Linked DNA regions of Danio rerio. The main gene of each other region encodes a partner of the protein of the gene in region 2 in a complex. Links are inferred from orthologs where the notes say so. Each region holds a gene or a part of one and is shown on either strand. Other genes may lie near its edges.

What was found. Proteins that work in one complex are often made in the same cells at the same time.
Region 1: the proteins of (E3-independent) E2 ubiquitin-conjugating enzyme UBE2O (region 2) and nap1l1 are in contact, whole or in part, in a cryo-EM structure (PDB 7UN6), measured with the Homo sapiens proteins. The link is inferred for Danio rerio from reciprocal best matches to the Homo sapiens genes UBE2O and NAP1L1. Residues at the interface, in NP_071349.3 of Homo sapiens: Ser225, Asn226, Val282, Lys283, Pro284, Val285, Lys289, Ser290, Lys291, Phe292, Arg293; in NP_001317160.1 of Homo sapiens: Arg333, Arg337, Thr343, Gly344, Glu345, Ala346, Ile347, Asp349.

The regions. Positions count from the first base shown.
Region 1 is NC_133179.1:2,691,404-2,698,940, reverse strand, and holds part of nap1l1 (nucleosome assembly protein 1-like 1), read left to right. Parts: intron 1-685; coding exon 686-778; intron 779-2,693; coding exon 2,694-2,822; intron 2,823-4,994; coding exon 4,995-5,066; intron 5,067-5,149; coding exon 5,150-5,289; intron 5,290-5,665; coding exon 5,666-5,811; intron 5,812-6,601; coding exon 6,602-6,621; intron 6,622-6,866; coding exon 6,867-6,989; intron 6,990-7,381; coding exon 7,382-7,414; intron 7,415-7,537. UniProt on the Homo sapiens protein: Histone chaperone that plays a role in the nuclear import of H2A-H2B and nucleosome assembly.
Region 2 is NC_133181.1:22,000,144-22,008,225, forward strand, and holds the start of (E3-independent) E2 ubiquitin-conjugating enzyme UBE2O, read left to right. Parts: upstream 1-2,815; 5' UTR 2,816-2,837; coding exon 2,838-2,873; intron 2,874-3,091; coding exon 3,092-3,505; intron 3,506-8,082. Other genes in the region: aanat1 (serotonin N-acetyltransferase), read right to left, coding at 1-297, 1,071-1,225, 1,380-1,533. UniProt on the Homo sapiens protein: E2/E3 hybrid ubiquitin-protein ligase that displays both E2 and E3 ligase activities and mediates monoubiquitination of target proteins. Negatively regulates TRAF6-mediated NF-kappa-B activation independently of its E2 activity.

The DNA of each region.
Region 1 (7,537 bases), on a different chromosome or scaffold from region 2:
AAAAAAATCTAAATACTTTTTTCCACAAATTAATTTTCATAGTTAACTTGGGAAGGATTTAAAATTTGTCAAACTATAGAAAAATTTAGCCAAACCCCTGAAATATGCTTCTGTTTTAAGTAAACCTTTTTATTTCTTGTAATTATTCATTCATTTTTAAATATAAATGCTTTTACTTTGAGAGTTTATGGAAGTGACACTTAGTTTGAAAACTATCATCTGTAATTAATAATTGTGTAGTTTGCTTGCATTTGGTTATTTTTGGCCAATTGTAAATTTAAATTCCATTAATTCCAATGAGAATTGTTATTGAATGCATAATGAGGAAGAAGAGAAAGCGTTGCTGTTCTAGAAGAGCAGTGCTGTACATTTAAACCGCTTCTATTGACCTGCTGCTTCAGCATTTCCAACTGCAGCAAACACAAACCTGCTGAAAGCCTGTGCTCAATCAAGGACACCAGAGACGAACAACACAACCTGTTTATATTCTCACCTCGGTCATAATGCTTTTACCAGATTTACTCTGCTCAAGCTAAATCTAACAAATGCATCGTTTCAGCAGGAATATTGATTCATATTGTGGTTTGTTCTGTGCATAAACTAACTTGGGAACAGTTGCTTTAGCAGTCATATATTGTGACCTTTTTGCTGTGTAGTTGGCTAAAGCATGGGTGTTTGTGTTTAGCGGAGTGAGATCGTGAGAGCGGCGTATGAACCCACAGATGAAGAGTGTGAGTGGAAGCAGGATGAGGAGGAAGAGCTGACAGTAAGTAAGCAGGTACAGGTGATCCATACCTGCATGCTTTACAAACACTGCCACCGCCTTAAAAGGACAGTTCGCCCAAAAATACTGACATCTATAGGAAAAACAAATACTGTTCAAGTCAATGGATATTGGTTTTTAGCCATTCTAAATATTTCAATGTTTGTAATTACATGAATTGAGTAATTTTGTTATATTTTTTTGGTGAACTGTTGTTTTAACTGGACGTGCTGATATACATTAATACAATATACCATAAAGAACATGCATATTATCATAGGCACTTAAACATAGTTGAATAATTATTTAAACTTTAAGTACCCTTGAATAATATTCACACACATTGTTCACTTTAATAATATTCATGCTGTAAGACTTGGTCTATTTGCAAATTTTAACAGGCCTGTTGTTTATTAAGCCCGTAATATAAGGCTTTGACATTTAACATTTAATTAACATTTAATTTCAGTATTTTTAATTAGCATTAACTTAGTAACTACAATAAAAAGCTCACTGTTGATTAATGCATTAAATTAGCAATGACTTTTACTTGTACTTTATCATCCTTTTGCAACTGTTTATTGTAACATTTTGTTAGTTGTATGCAAATAAGCATTACACAAAGTTGTTATTATACATGTTAAAATCTGCAGCTTAGGTTAATACTGATACCACAATACCAAGCTTCAGCGTTTAATCAGATGTTTTAATGTCTAAATGCATCAACATCAAATTGTAAATGGTTATTAAAACCATTTGTTTTGCTAGCATTAACATGGTAACTGCAATAAAATGCTCACTGTTTATTAATGCATTAACTAGTGTGCATTAAGTAGACCATTGCAATGTTACCTATTGTACTTTCATCATCCTTTTGTAATTGATTATTATTGTAGCGTTTGTTTATAATATACAATAAAGCAGTACACAAAGTATTTGCGTTAAAATAATCTCTTGGCTTGGGTCAATACTGATACCTTAATGATAAAGGCTTCAACATTTAAGCAGCTGATATTTCCTAATAACTAAAATTAAGTTGTTTTTTTGGTAGCGTTAACATTGTTACTGCAATTAAAGGTTCACTGTTGATTAATGCCTCATTATTACCATTATAACCCTATTGAGCTCTTATCCTTTTGCAGTTGAATATTCTGAAACATTCGTTTATACACAGCATTGCACAAAGTATTTTTTATTATACATGTTGCAGTGATCTGCTGCTTGGGTCAATACTGATACCTCAAAGATAAAAGCTTCAGCATTTAAGCAGCTCTTGTTTTAATGTCTAATAATGCATTAAAAAGGTGTTAATCATTAGTTTTGCTTGCATTAACATGGTAACTGCATTAATGCTCACTGTTGATTAATGCATTAACTGTGCATTAATTAGACCATTGTAATGTTACCTATTGTACTTTCATCCTTTTGCAATTGATTATTATTGTAGCATTTGTCTGTTATATACAATAAAGCAGTATGCAAAGTATTCGTGTTAATCTCCTGGCTTGGGTCAACACTGATACCTTGATGATAAAAGCTTCAGCATTTAATCAGCTGATGTTTTCTTAATGCATTAATCAAAAGGTGTAAGTGGTTAATTAAATGGGAGTTAAAATTGTTTAATTAGCATTAATCGCAATAACGTAACTGCAATGAAAAGATTGCTGTTGATTTTAATGCATTGTTTGTTAATGAGACTTGTGTAATGTTACCTGTTGTACTTTATTCAATTGCAAAATGATTGTTCTTTGTTTCTCTTCAGTATTGTTTATGCATTTGTATACAATAAGAATTTAAATGTGTGTGTGTGTGTGTGTGTGTGTGTCATCTCTAATGCAGCAATACTGATACCACATAATGATATAAAAGCTTCAGCGTTTAATCAAGTCTAGTCTTACCTTTGTTGACTCTGGTTGATTATCGCCCTCAGGAGGAAATGAAGGAAAAGGCCAAAGTGGAGGAGGAGAAAAAAGACGAGGAGAAGGAAGATCCCAAAGGCATCCCAGAGTTCTGGCTCACAGTTTTCAAGAACGTGGACCTTCTCAGTGAAATGTTGCAGGTAGGACGAGAGTGTAGTTACTTTCAGGTTTACTCTTATAACGCACTTTTAAAACAGCCACAAGACTGACCAAAGTGCTTTACTACATGATTAACAGGGAGATGAAGTGCTTAACGTAAATACTTTTACATATATCTGTTAATATAGCCAAATGTTTGGTGCAGTTAAACATGCACATTGTTGCATTGGATATAAGTTTTATTAATCTTATTAATATCCAATAAGAGTTTGGTCACTAAACATCTTTAGGAATAGAAAAATAAGGATTTTTGTTTAAATAAAAATGTTTTATTGCAACCATAAAATGCAAACTACAAGATTGCAACTACATTTCATATTCGTTTCACTTTATTTGTGAATTTTGCATTTGTTTAACTTGATTTCTGTATGCAAATTTATTTAAATTTTATTTTCCCCCAGCATATTAATTTGGGTGAACCAATTTTTTATTTTTGTTAGATTAGTTGGTGTTGTCTTTTGGTACTGACTAGTCTAATGTATGAGCACTAATATACTACTGTAAAGCATCTTATAGAAAATACTAATTTAAAAAGACATCTGAGAGTAGTTTACTTTGTAGTCGCTATGTAAAAGATATAATTGCAGTGATGCATGGAAAAACAATCCTCAGGCCAATGTAAACAAATGGGTTTTTAAAAGAGACTTAAATGGAGCGGCTAGTGTCCATTCTGATCTGCTTGGAGGGAGTGTTTGTCACTAGTTTGAAAGCAGGTCATGCAGCAGGGGATTTGAGGCTGTGAAGAGTGTAGGACTGGTGCTTACTGCCATCTACTGGTGGGGAAGTGGAGGATTATTAGATAACACAAGCCCTACAGTTGGTGGTACCCTGATTTACAGGGTTTATACGATCATTAAAAACCTGGTAAAGTCATGGAATATTGACGTGGCATTTTCCAGGCCTGGAAAAGTTTTGCAAAAGTCGTGGAAAACAAATATCTGTTTACTTGAATATAGGTTAGGTGTCTTGACTTCTATTCTGCCCTTGGCCAATCACATACTAACATTATTAGTGCGGTGTAAGCATCATCTAAATTTTACATGGATCTAAATTTAAACTAAATAGATTGCTGTGTTTTACCATATGCTGTAACAAATTTGAACATGCATTGTTTTTCTTTAACCATGCGGATGTAGACATTGCATGAAACAATCGGTCATGAGAATATACTTAAGTCAGGGGTGTTCAAAGTCTGTCCTGGAGGGCCGGTTTCCTGCTGATCTTAGCTCCAACTTCCTTCAACACACCTGCCTGAAGATTTCTAGTATACCTAATAAGAGCTTGATAAGCTTGTTCGGGTGTGTTTGATTAAGGTAGAGCTAAACTCTCCAGGACACTGGCCCTCCTGGACCGAGTGTGGACACCCCTGACGTTGGTAAATTCTCATGACCTTATGTTTTAGTAATGTGTATGAACCCTGATTTTATTTAACTAGCTTTTTTTTTCTTGCATTTCTGTACTATAAAACAGAATTCTATGTACTGTAATAAATAATACAGGTATAATCTGTATATTATAAGGAAATGTATTGGCAGCAGCTAATAAAGTGCACAAAATTGATAACGCTTCAGCTAAAATGGAATTTACAAGCAAGTTAAAACTAATATCATGAGTCTCCATTATAGTTAAATTTGGCTTTTAGAAATCATTGTGTACTAAAATTGTAAGCAGCATTACTGCTCGTGTTAAGTAAAGATGAAAGTTGCATTTAATAGTACTGATTACTAGTCTTCGCTGAGGCCAGCTTCCAGCCTCCACTGCTGAGACTGCAGCTCTGCACAAGACTTTTGGCCAGCGGAGAAATTAAAATGTTCGTGCTGAACTGAGTCTGCTTCTCTCAAGGTTTTTTTTCTTCACTCTCCAATTCCGCCGCTGTCGCCACTGGCTTGCATGGTTCAGGATCTGAAAAGCTACTCATTGATGAATTTGCTCTTCAGTGTTTGGACTCCGTAATGATTTCGAACCACACAGAACTGAGCTAAACTGAACTGAACTTAAACACTAAAAACTGAACCACCCTGATCCAGTTACTATGACCATTTATGTGAAGCTGCTTTGACACAATCTACATTGTAAAAGCGCTATACAAATAAAGCTGAATTGAATTGATTTTAAGCATTTGTTTTAATGACACATTTACTCTTCCTGCTCAGGAACACGATGAACCCATCCTGAAGCACTTACAAGACATTAAAGTCAAATTCTCTGACGCCGGACAGCCCATGGTGAGTCTGACTGTCGGAGTCATTCGCTTATTGATTGATTTATTGGTTTAATCTCACTGTTGCCTTTTGTTCTGTTTCTGTAGAGTTTCACATTAGAGTTCCACTTTGAGCCCAATGATTTCTTCACACAAACAATCCTGACAAAAACCTACAAGATGCGGTCTGAGCCGGACGAGTCGGACCCCTTCTCTTTCGACGGGCCGGAGATCATGGGCTGCACGGGGTACAGATGAATTCTGCTCTTTCCCTGTTTTAGTGCTAGGATGCTTTGGAGATAATAACAATTTGTTCATGCATTAATAACAAATGGCAACAGGAATTGGATCTTTGAGTATCAGACATGCTTCAATGCTAATTTTGAGCACCATTAAGGTTTTTATTTACTCTTCTGTTGGTTTGATCTAGAGCTTTGTGTATATAGTTCTAAATCTGAAATGTTCAATAAATAATAATTTCATGGGCCGTGGGCTAGTGATTCTGCCCTCGGTTGTAAATCCCGACATGCACATTTTCAATATTAATAATTTAGATAGTGCTCGGCAGTAGTTTTCACTGAGCTCTTCAGTATAGAGTCTGAGTTGAGTGATTTTGGGTTTCAGCTGCACGATCGACTGGACTAAAGGCAAGAACGTCACATTGAAAACCATCAAGAAGAAACAGAAGCACAAGGGTCGTGGCACAGTGAGGACGGTCACCAAGACGGTTCCCAACGATTCATTCTTCAACTTCTTCTCTCCGCCTGAAGGTACATCATTTTACATGCGTTGAAAATTTACAACCCGTTTACCTCACCCTCGATTCAAGAGGATTTTGATCTGTGAAGCATTAGATGTTAGTTTTTGTTGACTTTAGCTGGTTTATAGAATACATGTCAATGGCTGTAGGCACTTTCAAGACTTATTTTTTTTTTTGCACTACACTTAACACAAAACAGTGAGTTCTCGTATTACTGTGCCATGTTTTACTAATAGTACCATATATATTTTGTGGAGGTGTGGTGTCATGCATGTAAAAGTAATATAAAATCAATATACACTCTAGAGAAGAGCAGTAAATAAGTGCTGTTTATTACAGCTGTTGTTGATTTTAGTGCTGGGCAAATATTAATTGCACCCAAAACTAAAGTTTTTTTTTGACCGTACGTGTACTGTATATCTAAATGCACATGCATGCATATATTTAAATGAATGTTTGTTTATATTTAGTAATATTAAATGTACGTATTTTTATAGAAATCCATGCATGATGGATATATAACCACAATTTTTTTGGTGTAATTAGTTGTAATCTTTCCCCAGCACTAATTAATTTATGCTTTTAAAATGAGTAGATTTAGTTGATTTTATAAATTGCAGATAATCTGAAAGTTTAAGTTGCTTCCAAGTATAAAAAATAAGGATGTCAGTAATTCAGGATGAATGTTGTTAAAGCCAGTGCAAATACTAATGAAAAAATCATGTTTCCACTAATGTAGAGCTAATCTTTCGTATGAGTGTTTTTCCTTACTTGACTGTATTTATTTAATTTTTTTGCAGTTCCAGAAAGCGGTGAGCTGGTGAGTGGATCTTCCTACTTCTAAACTTAATATCCAAATGCGCAATAAAACAAACTGTTTAATTTTGACTTGGGGCTTAATTTAGTGTGAAATTGACCGTAAAATGAACTTGTATAATTAATTTCTTTGATTGCTTGTTTTGTGACATCAGCTTGCAGAAATCGAGATATGCTGGTGTATATAATGGTATTAAATGAGTGTCACACAGTAATATTAGGAGTGAAAGTTTGTTGATGCTGTTTCAGGATGAAGACTCAGAGGCAGTTTTAGCAGCAGATTTCGAGATCGGTCACTTCATCCGTGAGCGTATCGTTCCCAGAGCTGTGCTGTATTTCACTGGAGAGGCCATCGAAGATGACGATGATGACGTGAGTGAACAAGACCACATAAAACTGTTCATTCCTCTAACTAGACGACTAGTCAGTGTTTATACTGAGAGCACTTTGACGTACATTTTTGTACTTTAATAGCAGACGTGGAAAGAATTTACCTTATTTGTTAATCATCTAGTATTCATGTAAAAATTCTTATTGAATTGTGAAGTTGTATTCCCTTTGTTTATATTGATTAACCTAAACACAGTGTTAGTTTTTAAAGTGGTAAAGCCTTAATGTAATCTAGATGTATATAGAATATACTTTTTCTCTCCATGAAAATGGCCATAGGAGTAGGCATGGTGTTAAATGGAAAAAAAATAAGAAACCAAATGACCAAAAGTTGCCCAATATTCCTCAATCTGAACACTGTTTTTCTTTTTCAGTATGATGAGGAGGGAGAGGAAGCGGATGATGAGGTTGGTGTTTATTTTTTTCTATTTGCATATCATAACCGATTACACAATTACAGAACAATAATCATGAAGGCACAGCAAACTTTTTACCCCATTCTCCCTCCCAACAACCCATTCCCTTAAAAA
Region 2 (8,082 bases):
ACTGTTACGCCGCACGAATGCATGTCCTCGTATAGGATAATACATCTCAATGAAGGTAAGTGACCCTACAATGATTTCAGAAGGACCCTGCCCTTTGAAGCCAGACTTCTGGTAGAAGGGCACCAAGAAATCCTCACACATAAGGACGGCACGGCGCACATAAGGTAGACAGCGCAGATACTGCAAGTAACGCCACAAGAGGATGGATCCTTTTCCTTGCTGGCGGAAGGTCCGATGGACTGCCAGCACATGGATGTGAACAGTAGTTCCATGAGGTTTATGAAGGGTCAGTGCATCCTAAAAAGAGACAAAATTAAATAGTAAAATGAATAAGTTGAATAGTACAAGTTGCTTAACCATTTATATTACAGTTTTTACTTTTTTCTTTAGCATTTTATTTATAAGTTTTATTTTCAAAGACGTGCACATGCAAATCATGAAAAACATGCGAAACATGATTGAAAATATGTGCGTGTGTGTATTATGACAAGTGTTTTTTTTTATAAAAATATGTTTTAAATCTGTGCTCCAGGGCAAACAATATTGAAAATTTTAAAAATACAAAATATTGAAAAATATACATTAAACTTGATGAATTTTATTAATGAAATTTATTATTTATATATTACCACCATGCAAGGATGACAACACATTTTAATTTATTCATTCATTTTCTTATCGGCTTAGTCCCTTTATTAATCCGGGGTCGCCACAGCGGAATGAACCCCCAACTTATCCAGCAAGTTTTTACGCAGTGGGTGCCCTTCCACCCGCAACCCATCTCTGGGAAACACATTTTAATATTATAATAAATTTTAATTAAATAATAATAATAAAAAAGAATTAATGCTATGTTGTTTCAAACCAATGTTGTCTAATATAACCAATCCTAACGTAATAAAGTTATTTTTAACTACATTTTCACCCAACTGCTGGGTTTGCCCATACTTGACATAGGGCTAAATGTGGGTTTAAATTTTATGGTGTAAAAGTAATAATAAACAATAATAACTAATACTTAATTAACCTATGTTACTAACGATAACAAGTATATATTTGAAGATTATTACAGCAGTCAGACGGTCCTGGTCCCAGAGAGATCCTATGATAAAAGCGACAAGCCTTCCCTGTTCAAACCAGCCCAAAGAAAGCTCAGGACAGAGAGTGAGAAAGTGCCTGACTTCATCCAGGTGAAGAGGACATTCTCCAGAGACTGAAATAAAAGCTGAGAAATAAAACGAGAAAACATTGACGTTCTGACACGTTTCAGACAGTTTTACATTTACCCACACTAAATAAACACCAGACAATGAATATTACACACATATGACCACACAAACCTAATGAAAAGCAAATCGATGATTGCAGTATTGCCTCACCCTCTCTCTCAATTTCGAACACACTGATTGCGTCCTCGGCGTTGAGCGAGCGAAACTCGCTTGCTGGGAGCGTGTGTCGGCGCTGGCGGCCAGGGGAAATCGGAACTCTCGCATGGATGGGCTTCAGGAAAGGCAGTGCGCTCACTACTGACATTTCTGCTGCTTAAAAATGTATTTCGTCTTATAAATAAGTAAATAGTTTTCAATTGTCGCTTACGGGTATTCTATTTCCAAGGGCTGTGTCCAAAGTGAATCATGGAGAGGTGCACCATGGGCATTTATACCCCTCCATCTGCTTAAGATTCATTAGTCACCATAAGCCTTAAAGCAGCCCCCATTTAACCATTAATCACGTTTACTGAAACCACGTGAGTCTGTTCAATGGCCAATAGGCACATTTTGATTTCAATTTGTTCAGTTTTTTTTCATTCATGATAGTTGTGGCAAACTATTTCTTAACTTTAATAACTGAATTAAATTACCTAAAAATCCATTTCATTCACATGGGTTGATGGATCAGTACACTAAAATTCCATTAAACAGCCAAGATTAGATTAGTCTTATTTAAAATAAAGACTATAAAAGGGAGTACAAGGAGGTATAATGAAAATAAAGATAACGAAAACAACTAATTCCCAGAACGGTTGTTCCCATTTCGTTCACAAAATGCTCTGTGAACGTTTCCAGAACCTGCGTTCTCAAAATAATCTCTACAAAAACCCTCCCAAATAATAAAGGGAACATTCCCAGAGGTTTTTAGAACATCCTCAGAAGGTTCCCAGACCAGAATGGGTACATAGGCGCTGTTGCACACAATTAATCAGACATCACTTAAACCATTGAGCAGTAATCTTGCATGAAATTATTTGCTGAACAATAGAACATAGCTTAATTTTATTATGATCTGCATAAACGTTTTTTATTGTAATCACAATTTTATTTCCTTGTAATTGCAAAATAACAAAAGTTGTTTGTGATCTCAACTTAAATAAACAGCCACGTACTGGATGCGTCATTAACAGTTTAAATGTCGTGTTTACATGTTACTGCATGAAAATCAATAATGAAATTGTTGTAATGCCCTGTTATATAACATTTTGTGAAACATGCAAACTGGTGTATGCAGGTAAATCACTGGCAACAAATAGCTAGTTCTATAACAGTAACGTGGAGAGGAAATGTTTCCTATAAATTCTACTCTTAAATATAACCCTGGCCTATCAATGAAGAATTGCACCTTTTGATATTAACTTAATTAGCGTTATTTTGTATTTATTTTACAGATATACACATTTATGGTCTATTATTAAATAAATATTTTATAGGATGAAATAAAAACAACAATAATTCCCGGATTTTAAAAGTAAAATAATAAATAAACATTTAACAAAAGCAACCATCCTGTCAAACACTGCCATCGTGTGGCTGATCTGATCATGTGTTTGGGTGGAGCTGCAGATGAAAAACATAAAACAGATGATCCAACACAATGCCGTACGTAATACACACGCACACATTATTCGTCCCTTATTTAAACCAATTTTGCTATGATCTGACAAGTCAAAACATTTGCTTTAAGTCTCTGTTTTCAACTGATAATGCAAGTAGAGATTCAAATAAGCTAATTGTTCTGCTCTTAAAAACAACAGGTGACTCGTCCTCCATGCGGCGCTGTACGTAGAGACGTAAACACGTGTTTCTCCTGCTCACAGGTTTCCATCCCTCGCCTCCCGCATCATTCAGCAGCAGCAGCAGCAGCAGAGATGGCGCAATTCGCCCCAGCAGCGCTTTCTCCGGCCGTAAGCCTGAGCTCCGAGCCTCCGTCCAGCGCGTTCTCTCCCACGGAAGGTGGAACACAGCGGCTCCTGTTTACGCATGATCTGGTCTCCGGAAAACATCACGGGGCGATGCGTTTTGGGCTTGTACGGATGATTCATGGAGAGGAGGATTTTGAAGATTCGGACTCTGAGATTGGTGGTGATGGCGGTGGAGGAGGTGGAGGCGCTCCCGCTAACTCGGATAACGAGAGTGGTGCTGCGGAAACACGGCCATGGCCTCTCGGTAGAGGATTTGTGCGGGTTCAGTGGTATCCTGAAGGAACGAAACAGGATGTTCGAGAAACGAAGGTAACGTTTATGAAAGCCGCAGATTATCCCAACGTTAACCCCATACGACTAACAATGAGCAATCAGCTATATTTTACCGTCGTCGTTTTTGTCGCGATTATTTAAGCAAAGCCGAAATACATTTGTTGTTGTCTTTTTAGTTTTATCTTTTTTTTTAAACAAGGAGGCAACGTGTGTTTGTTTCATATAGAAAATTGTCCCACTGGGCACTGACAAGTTTTAAGCACATGAGCGCCTAACAATCATTTAAAAACTATCGTAAAGCCGCGAGTACCAACGTAAACGCACATTTATAAAAATAATTAGTTAAAATAGTTCAGGACCAACACAAAAGCTCATCGGCTTATATCAGATACTTTTTAATATTTTGCTTGTAGCGAGTGTGAGTATTTTTTGTAATTTTTATTTCTTATCATTTATTAATCAGTGTAAATTATTTATCACTCGCAAATTAGAAGTGTTTTAGCGTCAATTCAACCTGGAGTAAACAATTTCAGATTCTAGGCCTTTCCCTGACGTTTCTGGACCTTCATCGCATTATTCTACTGAATTGCTTTCAGATTTTCGTTTCAGTGTTTAAGCACTAGAAGCCACCATTTTATTCTTCAGCTTTCAGGTATAGTATTAGAATAAAGCACTAAATTAGAATACAATGGTGTGTGAATAACACATATGTTAGGCTATTTCCAACGAAGACTCCATTAATCAGAAAACTACCCCACCCTGAAATGCCATGTTATGGCTTACAATGAGCATGAATGAACTATGATTAAGAAAACAATATCAGTAGGTTGTTGAAGTAACAGTGTTTTGGTTCTAGTGCAGAATAATTTTAAAACTAGCTCAAAAAGGATTCAAAATGTTTTCTATGATGGATGTTTCTACAAGTCATTTTTGAAAAGTGTCACTCATATATAGTAATTGTAATTATAGGTCTACAAATATATATCAATATTACTTTTTTATTTAAAAATAAATAATTTTTAATACTGTCTTTGAGAAAAAAACTTCTAACAATGGCTTGAATTAACCCTTTAACTACCCCACCAAGAAATAAAAAAAAAAAGAAAAATTGTTGGTATGCATTTATTAGCTCCTAATATTGCTAGTTGTCAATGTATTTTTTTAAACATATCCCATAATTATCATCCCAGAAATAAAGAAAGAAAAATTGTTGGTATGCATTTATTAGCTCCTAATATTGCTAGTTGTCACAATGTATTTTTTAAACACATCCCATAGATAAGTCGCTTTATGTTAAAAGTACCGGTATTGTTACATATACTATGACAATAAGAAAATATGAACAGAACTACTAATAGTATTTAAACATAATCAAAATAAATTATTATTTACTGAGTCATCTTTATTTATTGTAGTATGTCATAAAATATTTCAGGCTCTCATTTAAGACAGTATTTTTTCACAATACACCCAAAGTCAAGTGTAGTAATGCAACATGATTATATAAAAGCCAATATTAATCACTAAATAATATTCTGTGTGTAATATTGAAATGTTATCTAGCTAGATTATTATGGATGAATCAAGAAGTGCAGTATTAGGCTTAAATCCACCTTTGCTTTACTGTAATACATATAGTCATGTGCTCTTTTTAAAGGTATGTACAAATAAAATGTTAATGTTTGCGATATCTTGGGTTGCATAGCTCCTCAAGGTCTAGCAGCAGGCAGAATGAGCAATGCAGTCAAGAGGCAGACTGAGCAAAATAGTCTAGAAGCCAAAAGCAACAAATAAAACAAATACAGTCTAAAGTTGTTAGCAAATTAATTAATTAATTAATTCATTCATTCATTTATTTTCTTGTCGGTTTAGTCCCTCTATTAATCCGGGGTCGCCACAGCGGAATGAACCACCAACTTATCCAGCAAGTTTTTTTTTTTTTTTTTTTACGCAGCGGATGCCCTTCCAGCCGCAACCCATCTCTGGGAAACATCCACACACACATTCACACACACACACTCATACACTACGGACAATTTAGCCTACCCAGTTCACCTGTACCGCATGTCTTTGGACTGTGGGGGAACACAAAGACTGTGTCTTTGGAGCACCTGGAGGAAACCCACGCCAACGCAGGGAGAGCATGCAAACTCCACACAGAAACGCCAACTGAGCCGAGGCTCGAACCAACCTTCTTGCTGTGATGCGACAGCACTACTGCGCCACTGCTTCCCCCTAGCAAATTTATGATTCATTATTGGTGGTTAGTAAACAGTTTGTGTAAAACATGTGTAAGCATTGCAGAGTTATTAGCGTCAGATGCACTTTGACGTCCTGCTAGCACATTTGTCGATGGCGTAAACAAATCATATAGCTGATCAATATGATTTCCATAAATTTTGGTCAAAAGAACAAAGCAGTTCAGACCCAGAAAGAGCAAAGCAGTCCAGAGGCAGATTGAGCACATTTGAGTACATGTGTCGGTCGCCTATTGACATGAATTTCACAATACTTTGTCAACATGGTCTGACAATGATCTGAGTCAAATTTGGTGATATTTCGACAAACGGTCTAAGAGAAGTTTGCAAATGAATTTTTGAACAAAAGCTATATGGCTGACAGTACAATTAATTAAAAATCTGGTTTCGATTTCGATTTTGGCTTCTAACAATTATGAAAAAACATTAATCAAGATAAAATGATTATTCCATCATATACAACCCATTTCCAGTTGTACACATTTGTTGCTCTGCAAAACTCAGTTCCATGTGAAAATGACTAAAAAGCATGTACTGTACTGTAATGTTTGCAGCATGGGATGCGCATCATTCATTGATGTATATTCAAATCATTCATGTGTTTAAATGCATGAAAGAGCGCATGCTGTTGTGTGTGTGCGCTTGGCCTCGTAGACTAGCAGAGCACACACATCTCACGCCATCTGCGAGTGCTTTAATGGTCGAATACATGCACATTTGTGTCAGAGCGCGGTGTTTAGTAATCATTCATATAAACCCTCATTTGTGTAATAAACAGACAAGTTGAGAATCAAAAGACATGTGAAAGAGAAACCATATCAGAGCTGAGCTATTCTTAAAGTGACAGCACGCAACATTCCTGCTGCCGATTGTTTTGATCATTAACCCGTTGCGTTCTGATGAAACGTCGGGGAAACATTGCTAAATATAACGGCTTCCCACAAAAAGACAAAACATTGCATATATCTTTTGAAAGCTGAGATTCTTGTCATTAAAACTATTCCAACCATTTTAAGACACAATGAACATAGCAGACACAATTAGTGTCTTTGTCAAACTGCCGATAACAACAGAAACAACAAAACTGAAAAAAACTCACATTTTATGGCTCCTGTTGCTCTTGTCTGCCCACAGATCCATAAAATTTCAACAAACAGGGTGTAATTACTCTAAAAAGGTACAGCCAATTAAATTCAGTGAAATATTTAGTCCACAACTCGTTTATATGTCAATAAACATCCAATGAATGCACCGAGATCATTTCAAACTAGTCGCCGAAGCAATCAAATCTATAACATGTTCAGGAGTTTAGTGTCTTTTTAGATTTAAATAATACTTTCATTTTGAAAGGAAAATGGGTGCTGACCTTTGCCCTTTTGATTGACGTATCATTTAAACCAATACCTGCTTCTAAGAGGTGTCAATAGCTGTCAACATCCAAGGAGCGCACAACTTGGAAACTGTTTCCGCCGTCGCTTTGACAATCAATAGATCAATCCAAATTTAAATCACTTTGAAAAACACTGCTTTATCTGATAGCCATTAAGCATCTGAAGAGATTAATATGCAGCTTTAGTGGGAAAATTCAACCTACTAAGCACAGAAGTTTGTTTGTAAAGTGCCATAGTGACTTGTGCATTTATGCGTAAAGAGTGGTGCAAGAGAGTTTTCATTGATTGGAGATGAAAATGGCAAAAAACTAGCAAAACACAGTTCTTGCTTGAGGAAGTTGTTAAAATGTACTCTGGTGTCAGTGATGAATCAGATGAGTGATGTTTCATCTATTGACTGCAGATATATTAGTGTGTGTGTGTATAAACTGTATAAACGCATAAATGAGTAGTCTAGAAATATATTACACTTAAATTCATTTTAATTTGGAAAAAATTTGCAAGATTTTGTATACAGTTTTTGGTTTCTCTAGAATTTTGCTGTTTTCATTTTTTTTGTAAATATTTTTCTATAACATATCAATTTGGGTGTACTAATTTTAGATCATTATCATTAGTTATTTTATTAGATAAGCTACAGATCTGGCTGCAGTACTGACTAATGTTTATGCACAAATTATAAATAGAAAAGCTTTCTATTGAAATTATTTATCAGAGATTTATGTCAGAGATCTATGGGAGTACACTCTTTTGTTGAGCACTATATGCACACACACACACATACACACACATATACAGTAGGTGAGACTGGTTCAAAGTGGCTATTAGCACCGCAGCATGTACCGCCGCCGTTTGAAATAGGTACCGCTCTGTATTTAGTGTATGACCGCAGTTTGTGAATAAGCCGCCAGGGGGGTGCAAAGGGACGGGATGCGAACAGACAGAAATAACCCATACAGCAGCT